Linked DNA regions of Macaca fascicularis. The protein of the gene in region 1 purifies or fractionates together with the protein of each later gene. This does not show direct contact. Links are inferred from orthologs where the notes say so. Each region holds a gene or a part of one and is shown in the gene's direction. Other genes may lie near its edges.

Evidence for each region.
Region 2: the proteins of NCBP2 (region 1) and KPNA2 purify together in Homo sapiens (affinity purification with mass spectrometry; 4 studies listed by BioGRID and IntAct, with this or other methods). This does not show direct contact. The link is inferred for Macaca fascicularis from reciprocal best matches to the Homo sapiens genes NCBP2 and KPNA2.
Region 3: the proteins of NCBP2 (region 1) and PHAX purify together in Homo sapiens (affinity purification with mass spectrometry; 5 studies listed by BioGRID and IntAct, with this or other methods). This does not show direct contact. The link is inferred for Macaca fascicularis from reciprocal best matches to the Homo sapiens genes NCBP2 and PHAX.

Annotation. Positions count from the first base shown.
Region 1 is NC_088376.1:2,356,494-2,362,589, reverse strand, and holds the start of NCBP2 (nuclear cap-binding protein subunit 2), read left to right. Parts: upstream 1-2,742; 5' UTR 2,743-2,794; coding exon 2,795-2,872; exon of another isoform or gene 2,873-2,928; intron 2,929-3,103; exon of another isoform or gene 3,104-3,174; intron 3,175-3,426; exon of another isoform or gene 3,427-3,580; intron 3,581-3,721; exon of another isoform or gene 3,722-3,897; intron 3,898-5,066; exon of another isoform or gene 5,067-5,216; intron 5,217-5,814; coding exon 5,815-5,996; exon of another isoform or gene 5,997-6,035; intron 6,036-6,096. Other genes in the region: protein NCBP2AS2, read right to left, coding at 2,279-2,578. UniProt on the Homo sapiens protein: Component of the cap-binding complex (CBC), which binds co-transcriptionally to the 5' cap of pre-mRNAs and is involved in various processes such as pre-mRNA splicing, translation regulation, nonsense-mediated mRNA decay, RNA-mediated gene silencing (RNAi) by microRNAs (miRNAs) and mRNA export.
Region 2 is NC_088390.1:74,457,821-74,463,992, forward strand, and holds the start of KPNA2 (importin subunit alpha-1), read left to right. Parts: upstream 1-2,680; 5' UTR 2,681-2,784; intron 2,785-4,061; 5' UTR 4,062-4,084; coding exon 4,085-4,159; intron 4,160-4,308; coding exon 4,309-4,446; intron 4,447-6,172.
Region 3 is NC_088380.1:133,170,966-133,176,813, forward strand, and holds the start of PHAX (phosphorylated adapter RNA export protein), read left to right. Parts: upstream 1-2,356; 5' UTR 2,357-2,369; coding exon 2,370-2,465; intron 2,466-4,813; coding exon 4,814-5,427; intron 5,428-5,848. UniProt on the Homo sapiens protein: A phosphoprotein adapter involved in the XPO1-mediated U snRNA export from the nucleus.

The DNA of each region.
Region 1 (6,096 bases):
TCACACCTGTAATCCCAGTACTTTGAGAGGCCAAGGCGGGCAGATCTCGAGGTCAGGAGTTGAGACCAGCCTGGCCAACATGGTGAAACCCTGTCTCTACTAAAAATACAAAAATTAGCTGGGTGTGGTGGCGGCGCCTGTGGTCCCAGCTGCTCAGGAGGCTGAGGCAGGAGAATGGCTTGAACCCAGGAGGCGGAGGTTGCAGTGAGCCGAGATCGCGCCACTCACTCCCGCCTGGGAGACACAGCGAGACGGTCTTGGGGGGGAAAAAAAAAGTCATTCTCCCAGATTAGGGAGCCAGATGTTCTCCCTCCTTAGAAGAACTGTGGGTCTCAAGCCCTCCCATCCTGCCCCAGAGAGCAGGGAACACACCATGCTCAGCTAGTGTCTGGTTACCAGCCTCAATTTTTCCGATGGCTTCAAGCTTCTAGATTGCATGATTATCTGTGTTGCCTAATTAGAAATGATCAGATCTGGGTGTGGTGGCTCACACCAGTAATCCCAGCACTTTGGGAGGCAGAAGCAGGAGAACTGCTTGAGACCAGGAGTTCAGGACCAGCCTGGGAAACAAAGTGCAATGCCATTTCAACCATAAAACACAAAACAAAACAAAACAAAATTGTGGCTGGGCACGGTGGCTCATGCCTGTAATCCCAGCACTTTGGGAGGCTGAGGCAGGCAGATCACAAGGTCAGGAGATCAAGACCATCCTGACCAACATGGTGAAACTCCATTTCTACTAAAATACAAAAAACTAGCCAGGCATGGTGGCGCACATCTGTAATCCCAGCTGCTCGGGAGGATGAGGCAGGGGAATCACTTGAACCCGGGAGGTGGACGTTGCAGTGAGCCGAGATCACGCCACTGCACTCCAGCCTGGTAACAAAGTAAGACTCTGTCTCAAAAACAAAAACAAAAAAACCTGTTTTTAATTAGCTGCGCATAGTGTCATGGGCCTGTAATCCCAGCTACTTGGGAGACCCAGGGAGGAAGCTCGATCACTTGGCCCAATAGGTCGAGGTTGCAGTGACAGCTAGTATCATGCCACTGCACTCCAGCCTGGGCAAGAGTGAGGCCCTGTCTCAAAATAAATAAATAAATCAGAAATTTAGCTAGGAGCTTCAAATGACAAGACATTTGTATATACAGTGGATTTCCTAATCATGGGTCCACTAACTTGCTGGACCATAGTCTTAGTTTCGTATGCCTGATCCTCTAAAATGAGGGATGAGTCCAGGTAGCTCATTCCATGGCAGGCAGCAGTCTTTTTTTATTTTTGAGACAGGTTCTCGCTATGCTACCCAGGCTGGTCTCATCTCAGGCTCATGCGATCCTCCTTCCTCTGCAGTGGCTTGGATTAGACACAACTGCCACCACGCCTGCTCCTAGGCAGTAGTCTTAATGCCTGATGATGGGGGGTTGGGGAAGGAAGGAAAGTATCAGGGCAAATGTTGCAGAGCTGTGTTAAGGACTTAGGCCCTGGAATCAAATGCCTCTGCTCACATCCCACTCTGCAAGACTTTGGGCAACTTAAGCAGCAGCCTCTGTTTCCATCGGAGTGGCTCTTGCCTCTAATCCCAGCATTTTGGGAGGCTGAGGCAGGACGATCACTCGGACCCAAGAGTTCGAGACTACCCCATCTCTACAAAAAAATCCAAAAAGTAATCTGCTTGCTCATGCGGATGTGGTTGTAAGGAAGCGAAATAACACGCAGAGTGCAATGAGCAAGTCCCAGCACAAAATACTCATTTCATAAAATACATGTTTATTATTGCCATAGGCCTACAGTCCCTGGTATTCTCAATATATCTTGCCTGAGAAGTATCACACTCATGCCTATTAACCAGCTCATACATTTTTTTAATCAAAGGAATTTGGCAGTTGTAGGGTTGTCTTTTCATTCACATCGTCCCTGGAATTAAGTGTCCTGCTACACCAGTGCAGATTCAGCAGCATCTGTCAAGAGTGTCAGTTCCATCTGCAGAGGAAAGGCTCTCTGGCTTCGGTCCGTGGCTCTCCGCGGGTGCGGTGTCTGGACCCAGCCTATCTTCATCTCTGTTAGGCTTCGGGGTCTTTCTCCACACGGTGTCTTGTCCAATCACAGGACTTCAGCGGAGCCTGCGGTCTGGCCTAGGCTCTTCTGCGTGGGATGTCTGCAGGCCAACAATCCGAGTCGGGGTTCGAAGCCGCGCGCAGTGCCCGGAACGACCCCTCCACGTCGAGGCCAGTGTAGAGCCCGGAAGGCAAAGTAAAGGCCTCGGCCCCGCACAGCCCAGGCTTAAATGTTTGCGCCAGGGCCCCTCTGGCTACCTGGTGGTGGCCCCGAACGGCCACGGAGGCCGCGGCGTAGCTCCTGGGTGAAGGTGTCTCTGAATCGCCCAGCGCGGCGGCACAGGGAGCCTGCGGGGCCAGCCGCGAGGTCCTGCAGGCGGCGGGCCGCGTCCTGGCCCCGCAGCTGGGCCTGCAGCAGAGCGAAGGCCGTGAGCTGCGCCGCACGTCGGATAGGCCGAGACTCGGACAGACGTTCCACCAGCTGCGGGCTGTGCAGCAGGGCCGCCAGCAGCCGCCGAAGCACCATCTTCCCCAAGCGCCCGGGAATCCGACCTCGCCGCCCTAGTCTTCCGCCCGGCGGCGCCCGACCCGGACGTCATCTGCGCCCGCGCAGCTTGATGACGACACTGCCGCCCTCGGATTGGGTCCAATGAGATGCGCGCTTCCGCGCGTTTCCGCTTCCGCCACGGCAGACGCCACCTCGTGCCGGGAATCGCCGCGTCCTCGTCCGCTTCTCTGCGCTATGTCGGGTGGCCTCCTGAAGGCGCTGCGCAGCGACTCCTACGTGGAGCTGAGCCAGTACCGGGACCAGCACTTCCGGGTGAGGGAGGCCGGGCCGCGAGAGGGGAAGGCCCTGGGCCAGAACGCTGAGAAACGGTTTGCTCTTGTCTCATTGTGTCGCCTCCCGTTCTGCTGCAATCCCCAAACGCCAAGTGGGGCCCCGGTGCCGGCTGGGGAGGCAGGGAGCGGGTGCTGGGGGGGCGCTTGGACATCACTGAAGCCGCTGGCTCTGGAAGACAGGGCATTTGAGGCTCGCTTTCCTGTTCCCTCCAGCCGCTCCCTGCACCCGAGCCGGTGCCGAGAGGCCTGAGCGCTGATGGTAGTGGCGGCTCCCGTTTCCAGGTTGTACCTCGCAGATGGCTGCGTAACAAGGGCGGGGTGCCCTTCTCTCTCCCAGAGTGTGCAGAGGCGCCTTCTTGATGCAGATTCGGGGCTTTTTACGTTCTTTTTTATTTTTTTTATTTTTTTATTTTATTTTTTTTTTTTTGAGACGGAGTCTCGCTCTGTAGCCCAGGCTGGAGTGCAGTGGCCGGATCTCAGCTCACTGCAAGCTCCGCCTCCCGGGTTTACGCCATTCTCCGGCCTCAGCCTCCCGAGTAGCTGGGACTACAGGCGCCCACCACCTCGCCCGGCTAGTTTTTCTGTATTTCTTAGTAGAGACGGGGTTTCACCGTGTTAGCCAGGATGGTCTCCATCTCCTGACCTCGTGATCCGCCCATCTCGGCCTCCCAAAGTGCTGGGATTACAGGTGTGAGCCACCGCGCCCGGCCTACGTTCTTTTTTAAATCGGCGAAGCAGTGCCCTTCTCTGGGAGGATGGTGTTAGGGAAGCTGTACGCGGTGCGTGGGAGACACAAGTGAAGTCCTCACTCCGCCCTCGGGGAGGCTTCGGAGTGGGGAGGGGGACCCGCCAAGCTGGGCACTTTGAGGGTGTTTGGATGTGAAGATCGGAGAATTGCTGGATTTCAGAAGAGAGAAATTTTTAGTCCGGACTATATCACAGTATGTTTTGTGGAAAAAGGGGAGGCCGCAGATATACAAAGTAGGCTTTTCAGTATCAGCAAAGGTAGGGATGGAATACGGTTGAGGGGTGGCGGCGCGGGACTCATTAACCCGGTTATTTAGTAAACATTTGTTGAGTGCTGTCACCAAAGCCTTGTGCTAAACCCTGGGGGGAAGGGAAGACAGTTTCTGCACTCTGCGAGCTCATAATCCCCTGTAGTGTGGATTATCAAAGAATCTAAGGTAGAAGTGAGTTAAAAGAGAGGCTGTGAGAATTCAGAAAAAGGGGAGAAATCCCCTTGTGACTGGGAAATGAGGGGGCGCATATAGCAGAGGTCAGTGTGGAGAACGTGTGAAATATGTTACTAGAGTAGGGAAAAGGAAACTTTGACGCCAAATTAGGGAAGCTCTGAAATTTATTCAGTCGAGGCCGGGCACGGTGACTCATGCCTGTAATCCCAGCACTTTGGGAGGCTGAGGCGGGTGGATCACGAGGTTAGGAGATCGAGACCAGACTGGCCGAGATGGTGAAACCCCATCCCTACTAAAAATACAAAAATTAGCCGGGCGTGGTGGCGGCGCCTGTAGTCCCAGCTACTCGGAAGGCTGAGGCAGGAGAATTGCTTGATCCCGGAAGGTGGAGGTTGCGGTGAGCCAAGATCGCGCCACCGCACTCCAGCCTGGGCAACAGAGCGAGATTCCTACTTTAAAAAAAAAAAAAAAATTCGGTCAATTTATTTTATTTTTTGAGACAGAATCTCGCTCTATTGCCTAGGCTGAAGTGCAGTGGCGCAATCACGGCTCATGCAGCCTCAACCTCCTGAGCCCAAGTGATCCTCCCCACCTCAGCCTCCTGAGAAGCTGGGACCACAGGCTCTCACACTACATCCGGCTAATTTTTTGTAGAGACAGGGTCTCCCTGAGTTGCTCAGGCCGGTCTCAAACTCTGGGACTCAAGCGATCCACCAGCCTGGGCTTCCCAAAGTGCTGGGATTACAGACGTGAACCACTGACCCCGGCCAGTCCAGGTTTTAGATGCTTAAGTGCCAGGCATGATTTGCACTTTTTTTGAGACGGGGTCTGGCTCTGTCACCCAGGCTGGAGTGCAGTAGCACGATCTCGGCTCACTGCAAGCTCCGCCTCCCGGGTTCACGCCATTCTCCTGGCGAGCTGGGACTACAGGCCCCGCCACCACGCCCGGCTAATATTTTTGTTTTTGTTTTTGTTTTTTAGTAGAGACGGGGTTTCACCGTGTTAGCCAGGATGGTCTCGATCTCCTGACCTCGTGATCCGCTCGCCTCGGCCTCCCAAAGTGCTGGGATTACAGGCGTGAGCCGCTGTGCGCGACCCTGATGAGCCATTTTGGATCCAGGGATTTGTCAGGTGTGTTGGATGAAGCCCAGTTATATTCTTATCTCTGGCTTCATCGTGTCATCCCAGTTTGGAAGCCCATTAGGAAAGTGAGCTCTGTTTTGTTTTTAGTGATCACTACATTTTTTTCCTCAATTCAGAAAAAATACATGAGCATGTAAAGCATCAGAGTTGTTGCTTTAAACAGTCTCTATGGGGTTATTAAAAGGGGACTCTCTGGAAATCCACTTATTTCTCACTACAGAGTATAAAAGGGCCCTTTGTCATACATGGGTCAAGGTCCAGAGTTTAACCTTGGTTGAAAGGATGCACTGCTGAGAAGATGGCGTGTGCAGGGAAAAAAGCCGCTTGTGTGGCAGTCTGGCGTAGGGTGACTTTGCTGTATGCGGTATAACTTTTGAGCCTTGTCTCTACTAAGAGTCTGGACTTTGCATAAGTGCTTCACAGGATGTGAACATCTCCCTTTTTTTGAGCAAGGGATTTGTGGTAGGCTGGGATGAGAGAATTTGATTTCCAAATCAGAATTAATGAATGTTTCTACCATACTTAGAAATACTATTTAAGCAAGGCTCTGAAGTTGCTTAACTTTTGTCTCTCTTTGAAATTCTAGGGTGACAATGAAGAACAAGAAAAATTACTGAAGAAAAGCTGTACGTTATATGTTGGAAATCTTTCTTTTTACACAACCGAAGAACAAATCTACGAACTCTTCAGCAAAAGTGGTGACATAAAGAAAATCATTATGGGTCTGGATAAAATGAAGAAAACAGCATGTGGATTCTGTTTTGTGGAGTATCCTTCCTGTGGATGGAATGTGGCTGCTGAACTGGGGTAGAGCTGAGAATAGTAGCTCATAATCCTCCCTGCACTTGCCCCTACGTTTTCCCTCGTC
Region 2 (6,172 bases), on another chromosome or scaffold:
CCTCCCGAGTAGCTGGGACCACACAGGTGTGTGCTACCACGCCTGCCTAATTTTTTGTATTTTTAGTAGAGACAGGGTTTTACCACATCGGACAGGCTAGTCTTTTGTATTTTTAGTAAGGACAGGGTTTTGCCACGTTGGATAGGCTAGTCTTTTTTTTCCGAAATGGAGTTTTGCTATTGTTGCCCAGGCTGGAGCGCAATGGCGCGATCTCGGCTCACTGCAACCTCTGCGTCCCAGGTTCAAGCGATTCTCCTGCCTCAGCCTCCCAAGTAGCTGGGGTTACAGGCAACCGCCACCACGCCCAGCTAATTTTTTGTATTTTTAGTAGAGACGAAGTTTCCCTATGTTGGCCAGGCTGGTCTCGAACTCCTGACCTCAGGTGATCTGCCCATCTCATCCTCCCAAAGTGCTAGGATTACAGGTGTGAGCCACCGTGCCCGACTATATCGTATCTTTCAAAGGCAATTTTGGGCATTATACTTCTGTTTCAGGTTGTTTTTAGGTGCAAGTACAGAATAGCGGTTCAGAATACAGATCCTGGAACCAGGATCTGTTATGGCTGAATCCTGTCTTTGCCATGTACTGGCTGTGTGACCCTGGACAAGTTACATAAACACTTGTGATTCAGTGCTCTCTTTTGTGAAATAGAGCAAATAACAGTACTACCTCACAGTTGTGAAGATCAAGTGTATTAATACATGGTAAACACTCAACACTTCTGGACACATAGTAGTCAGTATTTTCAAGCAAAAGAAACTCAACTTGGCTTGGTATGGTGGCTCAGGCCTGTAATCCCAGCACTTTGGGAGGCGAAGGTGGGTGGATTGCTTGAGCTCAGGAGTTCAAGACCAGCTTGGGCAAAATAGTGAAACCCTGTCTTTACAAAAAATACAAAAATTAGCTGGACGTGGTGGTATGTACCTGTAGTCCCAGCTATTTGGGAGGCTGAGGTGGGAGGATGGCTTCAGCTCAGGAGGCAGAGGTCGCAGTTAGCCAAGATCGTGCCACTCCACTCCAGCCTGGGTGACAGAGCCAGACCCTGTATCAAAGACAAGAAAAAAAAAGAAAAAAAAAAAAAGAGAAGAAACTCAACTTGACAATACAAAAGAAATGTGTATCGGATCTCATAATTGCAAACCTTCAGAGATAGAGCGGGTCAGACCTCTCAAGGTTTCCCTACAGTTTTCTTATTCAGATTTCTAGGACTCACATCCCTCAGTTCAGAAGAACAGAGGCTGCTTTCCTACCTCCAACCAGTAAACAAAAGGCACGGGCTGTCCAACTGGATGAATTTAGGTCATGTGCCTGCCCCTGAACCATTCTCAGTAGCTGAGAGAATGCCTCACAGTGATTGGTTTAGGGGTGAATTCCTTCCACATTCTTGCATTTAGGGGGATGGGATTATGCTGATTAAGAGTAGGTGCAACCCTTTATGAACTCTGGCTGCTATACAATGAATGAGGCTGGCATTAATGACTGCAAGAATGGACAAATTTGGTGTTTGAATTTATTTATAGTAAGAAATAAACCATGACAACTTTTCTAAAATGTAATCTTTTAGAACACAAAAAAATTGCAGAAACAAAAATGGCCCATAATCCTGATGCTCTGTTGACCATCTTTGTTTTGTTTCTTCGTTTGAGCATATAGCAAAAAATGCAAAATTCAGAAATGTGTAACGAGCATAGAATGTTACTGGAACAATTGACAAAACTTGAACACAGACTACATACTAAACAACAGCATGAAATTTCAGTTTTTCTGAATTTGACGACTGCAGTGTGGTTATGTAAGAGAATGTCTTTTCTTAGGAGATACACCGTGAAACAGAGGAAAAAGGACATGATTCTGAAACTCTCAAATGTTTCAAAAAGTAACATATTGAAATCACACATAGGTACACATGTGCATAGGTATACATATATATGTATAGAGACATTGCAGTAGCAAATGTGTTAACATTTGGCAAATCTGGATAAGGATTTGCAATTCTGCTGCATTTGAAATTATTTAAAAATACAAAACTTGAGTGTTTGGAGAAACAGGAATAAGAAATATTTTGTTACTATATTTGCGGCTTCTATACAGTCTTTTACGACGCAATTGAAAAAAAAAACTAAACTAAAAAATATAACATAAATCTTCCCTCCCATAGTGGCCAGAAACCCCTGCCAAGTTCTTCGGATATCGTAACAGGAAAAAAATGCAAAGCAATATGTCTTTCTATAAAGATTACTTATTTACTAATTATCATTTTTTAATTTTCATGAAGATCAACAACAAAGTTTTTTTAAAATAATGACTTTGAGAATCATTTTGCGGTATTTGTTCAAGGCTCTCGCCCAGGAAAACGCCCAGGGACCATGCGCGCTTCAATCCAGTGGAAACACGAACGGCCCAGGGACCGCCCCTTCGCGTTGCTTGACGGGATCTGGAGTCCTCCCGCTCCGCCCGGCCAGGCGCTCGGGAACCGCCCGTCTGCTCCCTCATCTCGCGATGCCATCCTCCTTTTTTTTTTTTTTTCCCCCCCTCCCACTCGCCCCTAAGCCCTATGACTCCCTCCCCTCTCAACGTGTTTTTCAAATCCACCAATGGGCACACAGCTTGGGCTCGAACCAGCCAATCGGAATGCGGAGTCACCGGGAAATTTAAATCGCGCCGGCCGGCTGCACGAGCCACACGGTCTTTGAGCTGAGTCGAGGTGGACCCTTTGAGCGCAGCCGTCCCACAGCCGCTGATTCCCCGCATCGCCTCCCGTGGAAGCCCGGGCCCGCTTCTCAGGTACAGACTCAGGCGGCGGCTCGGCCCGAGCGCTAACGGTTTGCCCGCGGGCGGCGTTCGCCTTTGGGTGGGGGGAAGGAGGCCCCGGGTCCACGCCGAGCCTGGCTCAGCCTCCCGCGTTGTCTAGGCCTCGGGGGCGACTGGTTCATTGACCAGGCGGCTGAGTTTCGCGGGGTCTGCGGGTTTAGGGCGCCGACGCTCTTCAAACGGCAGCGGAGACCATAACGCGTCGCGGCCGGGAGAATCGGAGCGAGCCAGGCCTGAGGGCGAATGTCCCGGGAGGGCTCGTGGCGGCCCTGGCCTCGCTTCCCCCTTTCTCGTTGCATCTTCCCCGACGTAGGGGCAGGGGCAGGGGCTGGGGGTGGCAGTTGGGAGCACTGTCTCTGACACTTTGGCCCCGGGGTGGCTGTGCCACCAAGTCGTAGGCGAGCGTAATGAAAGCAAAGATAGCAAATTGTAAGGAGGGCTTTGACTTTTGTCGTCTTCTGAATGACGCACAGCTGATGTCGTCCTAATTAAGTGCATTCGCTCCTAGTCTCTGGAAATGCAAATCAAATATGCGACATGCGGCACTGCATTTTTAATGTTGACCATAATGTAATGATGAAGCAAATTTTTTTTAGTTTTCGAATCTGCACCTATTTTGGCCAAGTAAAGACAGTAAAGTAGTGCGAGCCTCCTGAGAATCTGAATTTATTGCCCTGGCACATAATTTTTAGCTGTAAGTTAACTTGGTTCCCCTGCTTTGCCTTGGATTAACTATTAGGGACTCTGGAGTATCGAGCCAGGCTGTCAGAAACGGTGGACACACGTGGCTAGTCCAAATTGAAATACGCTGTAAGCTTAAAGTACACAAAAGACTTCAAAGATAGAGTATGGAAAAAGAATGTAAAAGATGTCAGTTATTTTATATATTGAAATATATATGTTGAAATACTATTTGGATATGTTGGGTTAAGTAAAATAAATTATTGAAATTAGTTTCACTTGTTTCTTTTCGCCTTTTAAAAAGTATGGCTACTAGGAAGTTTCAATTTATATAGCTTGCATTCTATTTCTGATGGACAGCCCTCTCCAGGAAGTCTCAGCGCTTCAGAGGGAAGGGGGACAGTTCCCGTTTGGGTAAAGCTATTTCATAGTGCTGAAAGCATGATGATCCCCCCTCTAGTATACAGGTGTGGATTCAGTAGATGCTTGATAATTCAATTCTTATTTGGTACTATTATTGACAAAGGAAAATGATAAAGGAAATATTTTTCTCCTCGCCCATCTTTTAGCTTTCTCCCTTTGTCTCATAACCATGTCCACCAATGAGAATGCTAATACACCAGCTGCCCGTCTTCACAGATTCAAGAACAAGGGAAAAGACAGTACAGTGAGTACCTTCTGTTGCTTTCCTGTGGTGGTGTTTAAATGGGAGGACATTTGGAAAGGGGTGAAAACTTAGGGATCTTTTTAAAAATACCCTCACTTAGCAACAAAAACTGATGTGATAGGTGAAACGGCATGTTATCTTTTCTCAAGGAAATGAGGCGTCGCAGAATAGAGGTCAATGTGGAGCTGAGGAAAGCTAAGAAGGATGACCAGATGCTGAAGAGGAGAAACGTAAGCTCATTTCCTGATGATGCTACTTCTCCGCTGCAGGAAAACCGCAACAACCAGGTAAAAAATGTATTTTGGTTTATGAGTTACGTGAAATCCAGAAAATCAGTAGGAACTTTTCTTAGAAATTCCAGTAAACTTAACATTTTTAGCCTTAGGTTGTAACTATCTGTGAAGATCTTTTTCTCTGTTCCCAATTAGTAATTGTCTTCTTTCCTGCCTTCCATAATCCACTGAAGCTGATTTAGGATCTTCCTTTAGCTCTGACCTTCCTTCAGACTTCCCTGCATTTCTAGCTGCTAACTGGGTACCTTGACCTGACCACTGTGTCCAGAGCCAACCAGTTTCTGGTTTATTCTTTTTTTTTTTTTTTCCCTAGACGGGGTCTTGCTTTGTTGCTCAGGCTGGAGTGCAGTGGCACAATCTTGGCTCACAGCAACCTCTGCCTCCTGGGTTCAAGCAATTCTCCTGCCACAGCCTCCTGAGTAGCTGGGATTACGGGCACGCACCACCATGCTTGACTAGTTTTTGTATTTTTTTTTTGTTTTGTTTTTTTGAGTTTCCCTCTGTCGCCCAGGCTGGAGTACAGTGGTGTGATCTCAGCTTACTGCAAGCTCCACCTCCCAGGTTCACGCCATTCTCTTGCCTCAGCCTCCCAAGTAGCTGGGACTACAGGCACCTACCACCCTGCCCAGCTAATTTTTTTGTATTTTTAGTAGAGACGGGGTTTCATCATGTTAGCCAGGAAGGTCTCTGATCTCCTGACCTCGTGATCCACCCGCCTCGGCCTCCCAAAGTGCTGGGATCACAGGTGTGAGCCACTGCCCGGTCTGTTTTTGTATTTTTAGTAGAGGCAGAATTTCACCATGTTGGCCATGCTAGTCTTGAACTCCTGACCTCGTGATATGCCTGCCTTGGCCTCCCAAAGTGCTGGGATTACAGGCGTGAGCCACCAGGCCCTGCCCGTTTTTGGTTTATTTCTGCCTTTTTTGGTATTCTCTCTTTTTTTGTATTTGTCACCAGCTTTGTTCAGGACTTTCCTTCTGAAATATTTACGGTAGCCTCCTAAGTTATCATTTCCTCCTTTCTGTGCCATATATTATTTTCCTGAAATTTTTCCTAAAGTACTGCCTTAGACATGTGTTTTCTCTCCTCAAAATCCATCCTCCAAATTGCTTGAACCTGGTAGGTGCAGGTTGCAGTGAGCCAAGATCGTCCCATTGCACTCCAGCCTGGGCAACAATCAAGGAAAAAAATAAAAATAAAAAAATTCATATTCCAGCTCGGCATGGTGGTTCATGCCTGTTCATGCCAACACTTTGGGAAGCTGAAATGGGAGGATCACTGGAGGCCAGGAGTTTGAGCCCAGCCTAGGCAACGTAGCAAGACCTTGTCTCTATAAAAAATAAAGTTAGCTGGGCATGGTGGCATTGGCCTTTAGTCCTAGGTATTCAGGGGGCTGAGACAGAAGGATCACTTGCCAGGATTTTGAGGTTGCAGCGAGCTATGATTGCACTACTGTACTCTGTGCTGGGTGACAGTGAGACACTATCTGTAAAATAAAAATCCCTGCTCCATGAAGGCCTTCCATAAAGTAGACCTATCTTAGATTTTCAAATTTATCTTTCATCTGGGCACTTTCCTACATCTTTTTCTCACAATATGCGTCCTTTTTTTTTTTTTTTTTTCTTAAGATGAAGCCTTGCTTTGTTGCCCAGGCAGGAGTGCAAGGCACCATCTTGGCTCACCACAACATCCGCCTCCTGGGTTCAAGCGATACTCATGC
Region 3 (5,848 bases), on another chromosome or scaffold:
AAAATGTAGTGGCTAAACTCAGGACAGCTTAAAACAGTTCTGTATTAAAAGTGGCAGAGGAACCAGGTACTGTGGCTCACGCCTGTAGTCCCAGCACTTTGGGAGACCAAGGAGGGCAAATCAAGATTCAGGGCGATCAGGAGTTCGAGACCAGCCTGACCAACATGGTCAAGTGCCATCTCTACTAAAAATACAAAAATTAGCCGAACCTGGTGGTGTATGCCTGTATTCCCAGCTATTTGGGAGACTGAGGGATGAGAATGACTTGAACCCGGGAGGCAGAGGCTGCAGTGAGCCGAGATTTTGCCACTGCACTCCAGCCTGGGAGACAGAGCAAACTTGTCTCAAAAAGAAGAAAGAAAGAATTTAATAGACAGGAGGCCACCCACGCCGTGTGGGAGACAGAGTTATTACTCAAATCAATCTCTTGGAGAATTCAGGGACTAGTGTTTTCCAAAGATAGTTTGGGGAAGTGATGGAATGGCTAAGCAATGGGTTCTTGCTGCTTACTGGCTGGGGATACAGTCATTGGGGTGTGGGAAATTGTCCTCAAGCAGGTCAATAGCTTCTGTGTGGGACCACAGAAGCGGTTAGAGCTTCAGGTGGAACCATTGGTAGTCATACATGCAAAATACCTGAAAAGATATCTCAAAATGCCAATCTTAGGGTCTACAATAGTGATGTTATCTGGAAGAGTAATTGGAAAAGTTGCGTACCTTGTGACCTCTGGGATAATGACTGGCAACGGTTTATGTCTACACCTTAGCAGAATTCAGCCTCCTTTATCCTTCTACCCTGGTGATTTCTTATTAGCTTTACAAAGGCGGTTGGCTTTTGGGGAAGGGTTATTATCATTTAAACTATAAACTAAATATCTCCCAAAGTTACACTGACTGGCCCAAGCCCAGGAATAATTAAGGGCAGCTTGAAGGCTAAAAGCAAAATAGGGGTTAGCTAGATCAGATCTCCCCCGCTGCCGTAATTTTCTCACTGTTACAATTTTTGCAAAGGCGATTCCAAGATAATCTTTAAAGAATGGGGTGGGTTGAGGGAAGGGCCTTCCAGGCCGAGTGAACAGCAAATGCAGAGGGCTTGCCTGAGGAACAACAGGTTCAGCGCGCCCGCGGCTGGGCAGGGGGACACACCAGGACCAGTGACCTGGTGCCCAGTCCACATAACCTTGTTTGCCATTGTAAAAAGTAAAATAGAGGTTCCTCTTCAAAGACTTTCCTCCCCATCTAATTAGGAATAAATAGTAACCTCTCTTAAAAGCAAAATTTATTCAAAGACCTGTGCTAACATTCTTAAATATCTGCTAGCTATAATAAAATAAATGTACTTTATGTTCTTATCTCCCACAATTTAGCCTAAATATTTGCCCTGGCATGCTTATACTAGTCCAAGCAAGCATTAGGTCATAGCCTGTTCCTCTTCCTTATTTAAAAGTGTTTTTGTCTTTCTCCACATTCCACAAGGTACTTCTTCCTTCCTTTGTTCTCCTCTACCTTTGCCTCTTTTAAAAAGTTCCAAGTTGCTAGCCAATCCCGAGGAATACAAAATGTGAGGTCCTGTTCCAGCCAATAAAAACCAGCCACAGCAGTAAGGTAAACGCCTCAGCTTACAAATGACCCTGTCTCCTTTGTTCAGTGTACTCTCCTGGCAAAACTGCTGGTGGGCGTACCCTTTCTGCAGAAAGTAAAAATGGCCTTACTCAATAAATTAAATTTATGTTCAAGTGCTATTTCTTTATGACACCGAAAAACAAACATTTCAAACACCATGCTGAGAACTCAGTCCTTGTTTTGAGGAGGGGTGCACTTGGAAGATTCCAGCTAAGGTACAATCGTCCCTCGGTATCTGCCGGTCATTGTTTTCAGGACCCCCACAGATACCAACATAGGCCATGCTCGAGCCCCCTTATATTATGTGGTGGTGCACAGTGCGTCCTTCCCATCCGCAGGTTTGGCATCTGTGGATAGGGAGTGGATACAGAGGGCGGACTATACCGCTTGAAAGGCTTCCCTGGAAGCAATATGTAGAGTGGGTAGCGGAGGAGCAAGAATGGAAGCAAGGAGGCTTGTCCAGAGCATACAGGCGAAGGATGTACGGCCAAGGGGGGAATCCCAGACGACCGCGATTCGTGACATATTTTTGTTTGCACGAAAATAAAGTTCGAAAGAAAAGTGTTGGGGGAACAAGGGATTCATTTTCCCGCGGTAGTTGAAACGCAATGGCTACGCCTCAAGCCGCTGCAACATGCTGGCCTCCGTGCGGGGGCGCCCAAACAGGCGCGCCGCCGGGCCTTCCGGCCGCACCGCCGGAAGTGCTCTCCTGACCCTCCGCCGCGCAGCTCATCGCAGGGCAGGAAGATGGCGTTGGAGGTTGGCGACATGGAAGATGGGCAGCTTTCCGACTCGGATTCCGACATGACGGTCGCACCCAGCGACAGGACGCTGCAATTGCCGGTGAGTGTGAAAGGAGGGTGCGTTATCGTGGCTGGGCGCGCCGAGCCTGGGCCGCGGAAAGCGCGCAGGCAGCGGTGAGGGTGAGGGGTGAGAGCTAGGAGCCCGGTCCGGACCGGGCTGCTCGGTCAGTGGCGGCAGAAAGGGCGAGCAGGCGTCCCCCGGGCGGGCTCACGGAGCCCGGGCTGCAGGGGCCGGCAGCGAGGGGCGGAGGCGGCGGCAGCGGCTGGGCGTGCGAGCCCCAACCTGGCGGCTCCCTGCGAGGCCGGGCGCGCGAGCCCTGGCGCCTCCTGGAGGCTGGCTTGGCGGCTGTCTCTTGGCGGTCTCACCTCCACCTACCGCTCTTTGTTTTTTTCTAAACTTAGGGCTTCCCCACTCCAGCGCCGCTAGGTGACCATTAAGGGGCAGATTTTGCCAGATGTGTAGCATCTGGGGACATTGGCCTGAAACAGCCTGTGGTGCTCCTTTTCTCCCTGAGACAGAGACTGAGGCCCAGGAATGAAGTTTATCAGAGTTCACTTAAAGAGCTGGTTTTCCTTGTTTCCACCGAACCTAGCTTTGTCATGCGGTACCATGGCACTAGGTTTTTGTGGTAGCTTCTCTGGTTTTGTTTGTTGTTTTAAGACAGAGTCTCACTCTGTCACCCAGGCTGGAGTGTAGTGGCGCAGTCTTGGCTCACTGCAACCTCCGCCTCCCGGGTGCAAGCGATTCTCCTGCCTCAGCCTCCCGAGTAGCTGGGATTACAGGGGCCTGCGGCCACGCCCGGCTAATTTTTATATTTTTGGTAGACACGGAGTTTCACCATGTTGGCCAGGCTGGTCTCGAACTCCCGCCTGAAGTGATCCACCCGCCTTGGGCTCCTGAAGTGCTGGAATTACAGGCGTGAGCCACCGCGCCCAGCCTAGCTTTTTGTATTTTTATTAGAGACGGGGATTCTCCATGTTGGCCAGGCTGGTCTTGAACTCCTGACCTCAAGTGATCCACCTGCCTCGGCCTCCCGAAGTGCTGTGATTAGAGGCGCGAGCCACCGCGCCGGGCCCAGCTTCCCTGCTTTCTAAACGGTAATTTGTCTTGACTGCCTTAGTAGGTAGCAACCTCTTTGAGGGGGCTTTGGTGCCAGATTGCCTGTGTTCAGATCCTGGGGCCACCGATGTGTGACCTACAGCAGGTTTATTTAGCCTAACTGCTTTTTGTCTCCATCTATGGAATTGGCATGATGTTCCACTGATAGGGTTATTGCAAGGATTCTATGGAGCATACAGTGCGCGGTAATGCCTGAAAAGTGTTATCTCTGATCATTATTTGAAGATAGTGGGAGATAGATCCTCCCTACTTGCGTTTCCAGCGTAGTAGGAGTTTTAACAAATACAAATACTTGCTTTTGCATATAAATGTTTAGGAAATTAGTACCAAGATATTTTGTTTTTCAATCTCAGGTTGTTTTTACATAAATTGACCCATGACTTGGTAAATAAACTTAATGCTGTGGACTGTGGGGTTTTAAAAATATGCCCAGGCCGGGTGCGGTGGCTCACGCCCGTAATCCCAGCACTTTGGGAGGCCGAGGCAGGTGGATCACGAGGTCAGGAGATTGAGACCATCCTGGCTAACACAGTGAAACCCCGTCTCTACTAAAAATACAAAAAAATTAGCCGGGCGTGGTGGCAGGCGCCTGTAGTCCCAGCTACTTGGGAGGCTGAGGCAGGAGAATGGCCTGAACCCGGGAGACAAAGCTTGCAGTGAGCCAAGATCGCACCACTGCACTCCAGCCTGGGTGACAGTGCGAGACTCCCTCTAAAAAAAAAAAAAAAAAAATCATGCCCAGCCTAGGCAATATGGCAGAACCCCATCTCTACAAAAAATGCAAAAAAAAAAAAATTAGCTGGTTATGGTGAGGGTCCCTCAGGAGGCTGAGGTAGGAGGATTGCTTGAACCTGGGAGGTTGAGGCTGCGGTGAGCCATGATTGCTCCACTGCACTCCAGCCTGGGCCACAGAACAAAACTTTGTCTCAAAAAAAAAAAAGTAACAATTATTATGTATGTCATTTTAAAACATTCTGACAATAACTGAAAAGTTTGAAATCTTTTAAAGGTGACAAGAACTTTGGTAATATAGTAAAAGGATATCTTAGAACAAAGTGCTGCATTAGTTGTAAAGATAAGAATTTGTGGCTTTTAAATTGGCGAATTCCATGTGGAACTTAGAAAAGTAAGGATTTGATTGGTCTCAGACTTGTCTTTGAAGATCAGTTCCTTTTGGAATGGCGCAGTTGAATCTCTAAATTTTTAAAAATTAGGTAGGTGGAGTTTATGTGTTTTGTGAAATGGATTGTGTTTCTTTTCACTTGCAGAAAGTGCTAGGTGGCGACAGTGCTACGAGGGCCTTCCAGAACACAGCAACGACATGTGCGCCAGTATCACATTATCGAGCTGTTGAAAGCGTGGATTCAAGTGAAGAGAGTTTTTCTGATTCAGATGATGATAGCTGTCTTTGGAAACGCAAACGACAGAAATGTTTTAACCCTCCTCCCAAACCAGAGCCTTTTCAGTTTGGCCAGAGCAGTCAGAAACCACCTGTTGCTGGAGGAAAGAAGATTAACAACATATGGGGTGCTGTGCTGCAGGAACAGAATCAAGATGCAGTGGCCACTGAACTTGGTATCTTGGGAATGGAGGGCACTATTGACAGAAGCAGGCAATCCGAGACCTACAATTATTTGCTTGCTAAGAAACTTAGGAGGGAATCTCAAGAGCATACAAAAGATCTAGACAAGGAACTAGATGAATATATGCACGGTGGCAAAAAAATGGGATCAAAGGAAGAGGAAAATGGGCAAGGTCATCTCAAAAGGAAACGACCTGTCAAAGACAGGCTGGGGAACAGACCAGAAATGAACTATAAAGGTCGATATGAGATCACAGAGGAAGATTCTCAAGAGAAAGTGGCTGATGAAATTTCATTCAGGTGAACATTTGAATTACAAATAAGTACTTGACCAGATGGCTTCTATTTACAGGAAATAAATGCCAAATACTTTAATGATATGTTCCCCTCTTTTTTTTTTTTTTTTTGAGATTTTTTTTTTCTTTTTCTTTTTCCTTTTTTCTTTTTTCTTTTTGTTTTTTTTGAGACAGCGTCTTGCTCTGTCACCCATGCTGGAGTGCAGTTAGTTGCTCACTGCAACCTCCGCCTCCTGGCTCAAGGGATTCTCCCACCTCAGCCTCCTGAATAGCTGGGACCACAGACACGCACCCCCACACCCAACTATTCTTTGTATTTTTAGTAGAGACAGGGTCTTACCATGCTGTCCAAGCTACTCTCAAACTCCAGAGCTCAAGGGATCCACCCGCCTTCGCCTCTCAAAGTGCTGGGATTACAGGCGTGA